Rattus norvegicus: one gene and its partner. The main gene of each other region encodes a partner of the protein of the gene in region 2 in a complex. Links are inferred from orthologs where the notes say so. Each region holds a gene or a part of one and is shown on either strand. Other genes may lie near its edges.

Region 1 (4,195 bases), on a different chromosome or scaffold from region 2:
GTGACACTTAATGTGCAATTTCTTAATCAGCAAAACAAGACAGATACAATGCAGGGTATATCGCAAAATATTTTGCTACACGTTCTATGGCACCCTCTAGTGGTGTCCAAAAACGAGTGTTGAATTGTAGCCCTCCAAAGCAGTGGTTCTCCAATTTTAGAGTGCATTGGATTTACTAGAACAATTTGTAGTGGATGGCCAAGCTCCATCCAGAAAACCTTTGATTTGTGAGACATAAAGCAGGGCCTATGAATCTAATATTCTGATAACTTACCGAGTTTTACTGATGCTTCTGATTTTTGGAGAACCGCTCTAAAAAACCTTTCCCCTTTGCAGCTGAAGACGTGGCTCAGCCATTAAGACCACTTGCTGCTCTACCAGAAGACCCGAGTTAGGTTCCCAGCATCCATGTCAGGTGTCTCAGAACAGCCAGTAATCCCAGCTCCGGAGGATCCAGTGCCTCTGACTTCTGAACACATACACATGTGTAGAAATACCTAATTAAAAACAGTAAAATTAAAATCTTTTAAAAAACCTTCACCCTCGGGTGGATAAATACATATAATTAGTGCCTGAAACCTATTTTTGGCTGATTATAATGTAGTACAATTCTGTTAAGAAAAAGAAATACCTATGGGAAGGAATTTAATACATCTGAAATATAGAAAATATTAAAAAAAAAATCGATGGTCTGACTGGGGAGATGTCCGGGGAGGGGTAAATGTCTGCTGCTCAAACAGGAGGGCCTAAGTTCAGTTCCCCAGCATATATATAAAAGCTGAACACAGGGCACTGATCTATAACCCCAGTGTTTTAAGGGGGGCTGTTGGTAGAGACAGGCAGATCCTGGGAGTTCAGTGACAAGCCAGAATAGCACATAGAGTAACTCCGAGTTTACTCAGACCCTTCTGTAAAAAAATAAGGCGAACAGCAATAGAGGAAAAGACGTAAAGAAAGGTGAACTTTAGCCCCAAAATGCACAGGCCACACAGGTACATAAATTAAAAAAAACCACACACACCTCAGGGCTATGTTATTATGCGCTCTGAAACCTAAGTGAAATGTTTTACTATTTCCTATCTGACTCTAAAAACACAACCGAGTTTTTCGGAATGTAATGAGAATAGTAAAAAGAAATGCCCTTTGTCTTACAAAAACAGCTTAGTCAGGAGGAGGTCCAGGACACCCAAGGCTGTACCTGATAACCAGCCCCCAATGACATCAGTCACTAAGATAACCAGACACAGGACAAGAATCCCATGACGCCCGCTACACAGCGAGTATATAAGCAGGAAGATCGAGCGCATCGGTCTTTTGCTGCACACCTGGAGACACACCTTGAGCTGCCCTGCAGCCAGAGAGTCTCCTCGGGCTCCTGCATCGGAGACTAGGCCTGATCTTCAGGTAAGGGCGTCACAAACGTGAGCTCCCTTGGGAAAACTGTAGTTAAGAACCAAGAGTGTTGTGTGATGACTCTCGCCATGATAAAATAGAATTTTTGGTATACTAAGCTTCTACCTACTTGCTTAGGAGGGCACAGAACCATCACATAAAATTGGGGTGTAAACACCCATACCTGATAAGTTTGAAGAGGAAGATAATCCGCAATGCTGAGGTCTAACTTTACCTCCGAGTTACCTTTACAGACTGACTAGAGGAATTGTTAAGTACTGAAAAGCGGGCAAAAAGCAAAAAGAATATTCTTTCATGGATTTATTTATGCAGAGACAGGGTCTCAATATATAATCTATGCGGCCTTTAATCTAGGGCCCTCCTTCTGCTCAAGTGCTCATACAGCTCACAAAGGGTTTTAGCATCAGAATTTAGGCCCATGTATCAATCCTGAGTAAAATCAAAAGGCAAGGGAGAAAGAAATGCAAGAAGAACAGATGACTTTTTCTCTTTAAGGAAATTAACCAAAATATTCAGATATGTAATTCCTTGCCTAGTATTATTACTTCACAGAACTTGATTTTATTCTTAAGAATTTTATATATATATATATATATATATATATATATATATATATATGAGTCATCCAGAGATTACGGATCCTGTAAGAAGTGGGTGGAGCAAAAAATTAAATCTCACAATCCCTGGGAACCCAGCAGTAAATCCTTTGCTGGGATTTGGTGACATCTAGTGGCAGATTCAAGAGGTATAATGCTCATCCAATGAACTTTCTGGAAAACTGACCGAATGTATATTGGATCGCTACGCTTGGAGATTAGGACAAAAGGTAGGTGAGGCTTAGCATCCACGGGAAATTGGCATAGTCTGTATCACTGGGGAATTTTTTTTTTTTTTGGTTCTTTTTTTTTTTTTTCCGGAGCTGGGGACCGAACCCAGGGCCTTGCGCTTCCTAGGCAAGCGCTCTACCACTGAGCTAAATCCCCAACCCCTGGGGAATTTAATTGTCTTTGTTTTCGTTAGAATTATTTCTACCAATTTAGCAATAAACTTGGTGGGGGGCAAAAGGGAGGTTCTCAGTAATCTTGGTGAGGGGCAAAGGTGAGGCCTTGGAGACAGAGAGGGCGGGGTGTACACTTGGAAACTTAAAAGAAACGCCCTTTTACGTTACTAATATAGTTTTGAATGCTCACCATGGAAGAAGTTTATTTTGTTGGACTAAATTGTGGGAATAATAAGCATCTTTAGGGTCTAAAATTAAATCAGACTGGGTGGGGTGGCCGATGCTTTCAATGCCAGCGCACGGGAGGCCGTGAAGAGACAGGTGGGTCTCTTGTGTTCCAGGCCTGCCAAGCCTACGTAGCTAGAACAGGCCTCATAAATAAAGAAAATAAAATAAAATAAAATAAAAAAGAAAGAGCGAGCAAAGAAAGATAAAAAGGGGGGATTAAATTAAATCAGCAGGCTTTTCTAACAAAAGGCCTTTACCTCTGTACTAGTACTTTCTTGGGTCTTATTTATTAATGCAGTTTGCAAACATCAAAAGGCAGAAATGCACCAAAATGAGGGACCTCACCTACACACACTCTCAGGGCCCCTCCCGCCACCGCGAGAGCTTGCACGCCTGCGCACACCCATCATCCCCGGCGCCACGAGGGCGGCTGTTCGCCCACACCCACACTCCACAGCCACGCGAGCGTGCCCGCGCGCATACACCCCAGTTCTCAAGGCATCCGGGCATCCGCCCGATGGCACTCACCACCCTCACACGCATACACCTCAAAACCTTCATTTTTCCTTTTGGTTTGGTTGGGTTTTTTTTTTTTCTCCCGTTCTGAGGGTTGCGCAACAGGCTCGGGGGCGTGGCGCTGGTTTGACCTCGCTCTTCCCACTCCCGGGAACCTTAGCTCATTTCCGCCTATCCTATTTCCGCAGGCCACGTCGGCACTTCCTTTCCCTGTGGTGCGGGGGCGGGGGAGGGGGAACGGACCCACAAACCCATAATGCCTCCCTGCAGGAGAGAAGGAGAGCGCGAGGGAAAGAAGGTGGGGGAAAAAAAAAAAACCCACGGCCAGGGGAACTCTGGGTCGTGAAAACGGGCCACGTGAACACGCTGCCCTATAGACTTCTGACCCAACGGCTGTAGCGCACTTGGAGGGCGGGCTAAGAACCTAAAAGGGCGACCGTCATTGGTCGGAGCCCGCACTGAAGAAGGACGCTCATTGGTTTGATTTGGGCCCTAACCATGAAGAAGCAGGTTGCTAGCACCCGCCTTTACTGCGGCGGAGTGTCACTGCTGACGTGGGGGCGGTGGTCCAATCATTTGGGTATGGAACATTCTAAAACTTAGACAAGATGGCTAGGATTGGCTGAAGGGCTAAGCCCGCCTCCAGGGTGACGTGTCTGCCTATGGATATCAGTTGCCAGAGAAACCTGGCTTTACTATGGCGGTTGGAGGAGCAGCGGTGGTCACACGTCGGCTGCTGGAAAGAACTGGATTCTCGTTTCAGGTTTCGGGGTGGGGGTGGGGAGGAAGGGTCGATGATTTCCTCTTTCCTTCTTGACTTGTAGATAGGATTAACTAGTGCCTTCACATTCAAGCAAAACTGGATGCGTATTCCTGCTCGCCAACGCCCAACTTGGGCAAGGCTCCTTTCTGTGTCTCGGTTTCCATGTTTGTAAAATGGTGATAATAGTAGCTATCTCGGTCGCGGATTCAGATGTGCCTAGTAAAATAGTGCGTGTAAGGCATTCGACGTGAAGCCTGTCTCCGAAAGACAGGAAC
Region 2 (4,273 bases):
AGCTACAGTGTACTCACATACATAAAATAAATAAATCTTTTAAAAAATATCTGTGATAGTTATTCTTGGTTGTCCATTTGACTACATCTGGATTTAACTAAAACCCAAAAATGGAAAAACACACATGTGAACAATTTTTGCCAAGTCTGAAGCAGGAAGACCCACTGGTTTTTGTTGTTATTTTGTTTTGGAGACAGGATTTCTCAGTGTAGCCCGGGCTGTCTTGGAATTTGCTCTGTAGACCAGGCTAGCCTCGAACTCAAGAGATCTGCCTGCCTCTGCCTCCCCCATGCTGGAAGACTGCTTGGTGGAAGACCCACTTGTAATCCAGATCTTTGAGGTGGGAGAACACACCTTTATTCTTGTTACTCAAAGTCAGAAGATACACCTTCTGGTGGAAACTAATGTAAAGACATGAAGCTTTTTCTCCCTGCCACCCCCCAGAGCAGGGTCTCTCTGTGTAGCCCTGCCTGTCCTGGAACTGACTCTGTAGACTAGGCTGGCCTCAACTCAAGAGATTCGGCTGTCTCTGCCACTACCGCCAAGCTGCTTTTACTCTTTGCCTACCTGTTCTCACTCTCATTGGCAACTCCACTCCTTCACTGTCATTATCTTCTTTGGGATTCTGATGTACAATGAAGATCAACTGAGACATCCACTCTCGTTGACTGAATGACTACTGGAATTTTGAACCTTTCCATTTATAGAGCCACATATATACTATTTTAAAAATAAAAATCCAATATTAAGAACTAAAAAATCAGGGGTTGGGGATTTAGCTCAGTGGTAGAGCGCTTGCCTAGGAAGCGCAAGGCCCTGGGTTCGGTCCCCAGCTCCGAAAAAAAGAACCAAAAAAAAAAAAAAAAAAAAGACCAAAGAACTAAAAAATCTTGCTAAGTCCCCAAGCCTGTGCAATAATATGCAGACACCTGGCTAGAATTTTAAATTCCTTCGGTTCTACTGATTCCCCGGGGTCCAAAACCCAACTCCTTAGCCTCCTACTCAGGGTGACACCTCACACTGCCACTATGAGGCTCGCCGGAACACTGCGGCCAGACAAAGCATAAACACTTGATCTGAGTGACCGGCGTCGCACCCGGTGGGCGTCACGTGACAGACTCGGCGTTCCTCCAATCGCTGTGCGAATAGTAGGGATTCCATCTAGTACTTGGCCTCAGGCTTACAACGCCCTGTTGTTCCATTCCTCAACCGGGCCCGCTTTTTACTACCAACCAGCTGGCAGTGACTCTCAAGTGTTTTCCTCTCAAGCAGTTTCGAGGGGCTCGGGCCTATAGCGCACTCAGCTCCGGAAGTGACGTTTCCCAGAGGGGCCGGAAGTGGCAGTGGAGGGAGGGAAGATGGCGGAGGTGGTGAGTCCGGTGCCCGGGGCGGGGCGGAGGGAGCCAGGGGAGGTGGGTAGAGCCCGAGGCCCCCCAGTAGCCGACCCTGGCGCCGCGCTGTCTCCCCAGGGGGAGATAATCGAGGGCTGCCGCCTGCCCGTGCTGCGGCGCAACCAGGACAACGAAGATGAGTGGCGTGAGTGACGTCGGGGGGCGGGTCCAAGGAACCTGAGGGCGAGGGGCGGGAGGGAGTCAACGATCACACGGGAGGGGGAGGGGCTTCTGCAATCCTGGGGCGGTCGCAGATACTCGGAAGGAGGGGCGTGACTTTTGGACGTACGGAGATGATCCGGGCGGGGCTTGGAGAGAGGTGTCACTTGGTGACTAAAGGGGTCTTGAACTAGCCCTTCTAAGTGCTGGGACGTAGACATCCAGCCTAGAGGTGGAATTCAGGTCGAAGGGTGGAGTCTCATGATCTGCCTTGATTAAGACCCCCTGTCTGTGTTGTTCCCTTAGCCCTGGCTGAGATCCTGAGCGTGAAGGACATCAGTGGCCGGAAGCTTTTCTATGTCCATTACATTGATTGTGAGTTCTGGGCCTGGAAAAAGTGGGTTGCTGGATAGGGTTGAGGGCAGCCTCTGGCATCCCTCCTGAGCCATTTTCACTGCTGCAGTCAACAAACGTCTGGATGAATGGGTGACTCACGAGCGGCTGGACTTAAAGAAGATCCAATTTCCCAAGAAAGAAGCCAAGACACCTACCAAGAACGGACTTCCTGGGTCCCGCCCCGGCTCTCCCGAAAGAGAGGTGGTGAGTAGGTCCCCCATTTCATCTTTTCTCTCCTGCCTCTTCCTTCTTGCATCTCTTGGCCTCAGGGGTTCCTGAATGGGCAGGAGGCAGCATTCTTTTGCCATGGCTTCAGCTTGCAAAGGATGGGGACCAAATTGCAGGTGTAGCTTCCAGAGTCCAGTATTGCCTTGCTTTAGAGAAGGCAGAGGGTGGGATTTGATCACTCCATGCTGAGGGGCCCATCCTCCCCTTCGCCATCCCACCACCATCCCCACCCCAGAGGAAGACCCTGGACCTATCTCTACAGCCGGCCTCCGCCCAGGCCAGCGGGAAGACCTTGCCAATCCCGGTCCAGATCACACTCCGCTTCAACCTGCCCAAGGAGCGGGAGGCCATTCCAGGTGGCGAGCCTGACCAGCCGCTCTCCTCCAGCTCCTGCCTGCAACCCAACCACCGCTCAACGGTACCCTCAGCAATTCCAGGGACCTTGCTTTCTTCTCAGGTCCCACCTTCTCTACCTTCTGACCCACCTTTCCTGGTTTCTCTCTGCAGAAACGGAAGGTGGAGGTGGTTTCACCAGCAACTCCAGTGCCCAGCGAGACAGCCCCAGCTTCAGTTTTCCCCCAGGTGAGTCTTCCAGTCTTTTTACATGTATGAAGGTTTTGTCTGTGATAGTCATATGTTCTACTTGCATGCCGGGTGCAATGGCCAGAAGAGGGCATTGGATGCACTGAACTAGAGTTGTGTGAGCCCCATGTGGGTGCTGGGAAAGGAACCCATGACCTCTGGAAGAGCGGGATTCTTAACCACTAAGCCACCCCAACAGCCCGTCTGGTCTTCCCCCCTCTTCTGTCTAGCATCCTCCTCCAGGATCATCTCATGGTCACCCTTTTTCTTCTGTCATCCACAGAATGGATCAGCCCGTAGGGCAGTGGCAGCACAGCCAGGACGGAAGCGGAAATCTAATTGCCTGGGCACTGATGAGGTGGGTATCAAGGAGCAGAGGAAGAGGGAAGCTGGGAAACAGGGAGTGGACTTGGGCATGGAGAGTTCATTCAGTGACCAATTTAAAGCAAACAAGGTGTTAGTTAGGCAGTGAGGGTGTTGGTTGGGCAGTGAGGGTGTTGGTTGGGAGCCAAGCAGATGAAGCATTGGGCTATTTTGTTTGTTTGTTTGTTTGTTTTGTTTTGTTTTGTTTTTTTACCATACCAATTTCTGGTTCTTGGTTTATTTTGGAAAGTGGAGATTATGATGCTTGCCCCTTAGTTGATGGTAGACTTGAAGGAAGAAACCTACGGCAGTGTTGTGAGCCATGTTCTGCTTACCTGCTGTTATCTGGTATTTTCCATTTGCCCTGGGCAGGATTCTCAGGACAGCTCAGATGGAATACCGTCAGCACCACGCATGACTGGCAGTTTGGTGTCTGACCGGAGCCACGACGACATTGTCACCCGGATGAAGAACATTGAGTGTATTGAGCTTGGCCGGCACCGCCTCAAGCCGTGGTACTTCTCCCCGTACCCTCAAGAGCTTACCACGCTACCTGTCCTCTACCTGTGCGAATTTTGCCTCAAATATGGCCGTAGCCTCAAGTGTCTGCAGCGCCACTTGGTATGAAGGGTCTTGGGAGGCTGCCTACCCAGTGTACCCTCACCAGTCCCCACCTGATCCTCCTTTTGTCCTTAGACCAAATGTGATCTTCGACACCCTCCAGGCAATGAAATTTACCGCAAGGGCACCATCTCCTTTTTTGAGATTGATGGGCGGAAAAACAAGGTCAGTGGCTTGTGCATGGGGCTGGAATACATCATATGAACAACCTTTTCCTGCTCAGAACAGTTGACCACTCTGGCTATAGATTAGTTCACTGTTTTTATTGAATGCCTGACGTAGAGCTGGGGAATGCACAGAACACTGGCATTTAGATACATTCTCTTCCCGGAGAGGTCACTGTCCATGGCAGAAGTAGACATACCAGCTATTCAGATCCCAGTGTGAGGAGTATCGGAAACAAAGGCTGGGTTAGCAGAGTTCAGAGGAAGCTGTCAGGAGCTTGGAGGTGTGTATGCCTAGAATTCCAGCACTCAGAGAACTCTGAGTTCAAGATTAGTCTGATATGAGTTCCAAGCCAACCTGAGCTATAA

The links. The genes of interacting proteins can lie anywhere in the genome.
Region 1: Kat5 (region 2) and Morf4l2 share a complex: the UniProt entries of both Homo sapiens proteins name them as parts of the nuA4 histone acetyltransferase complex. The link is inferred for Rattus norvegicus from reciprocal best matches to the Homo sapiens genes KAT5 and MORF4L2.

Annotation. Positions count from the first base shown.
Region 1 is NC_086039.1:104,883,086-104,887,280, reverse strand, and holds the start of Morf4l2 (mortality factor 4-like protein 2), read left to right. Parts: upstream 1-1,334; 5' UTR 1,335-1,404; intron 1,405-2,079; exon of another isoform or gene 2,080-2,239; intron 2,240-3,169; exon of another isoform or gene 3,170-3,622; intron 3,623-3,732; exon of another isoform or gene 3,733-3,920; intron 3,921-4,195. UniProt on the Homo sapiens protein: Component of the NuA4 histone acetyltransferase complex which is involved in transcriptional activation of select genes principally by acetylation of nucleosomal histone H4 and H2A.
Region 2 is NC_086019.1:212,329,474-212,333,746, reverse strand, and holds the start of Kat5 (histone acetyltransferase KAT5), read left to right. Parts: upstream 1-1,353; 5' UTR 1,354-1,358; coding exon 1,359-1,370; coding exon of another isoform or gene 1,371-1,469; coding exon 1,470-1,536; intron 1,537-1,607; exon of another isoform or gene 1,608-1,720; intron 1,721-1,856; coding exon 1,857-1,925; intron 1,926-2,013; coding exon 2,014-2,150; intron 2,151-2,409; coding exon of another isoform or gene 2,410-2,436; coding exon 2,437-2,592; intron 2,593-2,681; coding exon 2,682-2,756; intron 2,757-3,039; coding exon 3,040-3,114; intron 3,115-3,491; coding exon 3,492-3,740; intron 3,741-3,815; coding exon 3,816-3,905; intron 3,906-4,273. UniProt on the Homo sapiens protein: Catalytic subunit of the NuA4 histone acetyltransferase complex, a multiprotein complex involved in transcriptional activation of select genes principally by acetylation of nucleosomal histones H2A and H4.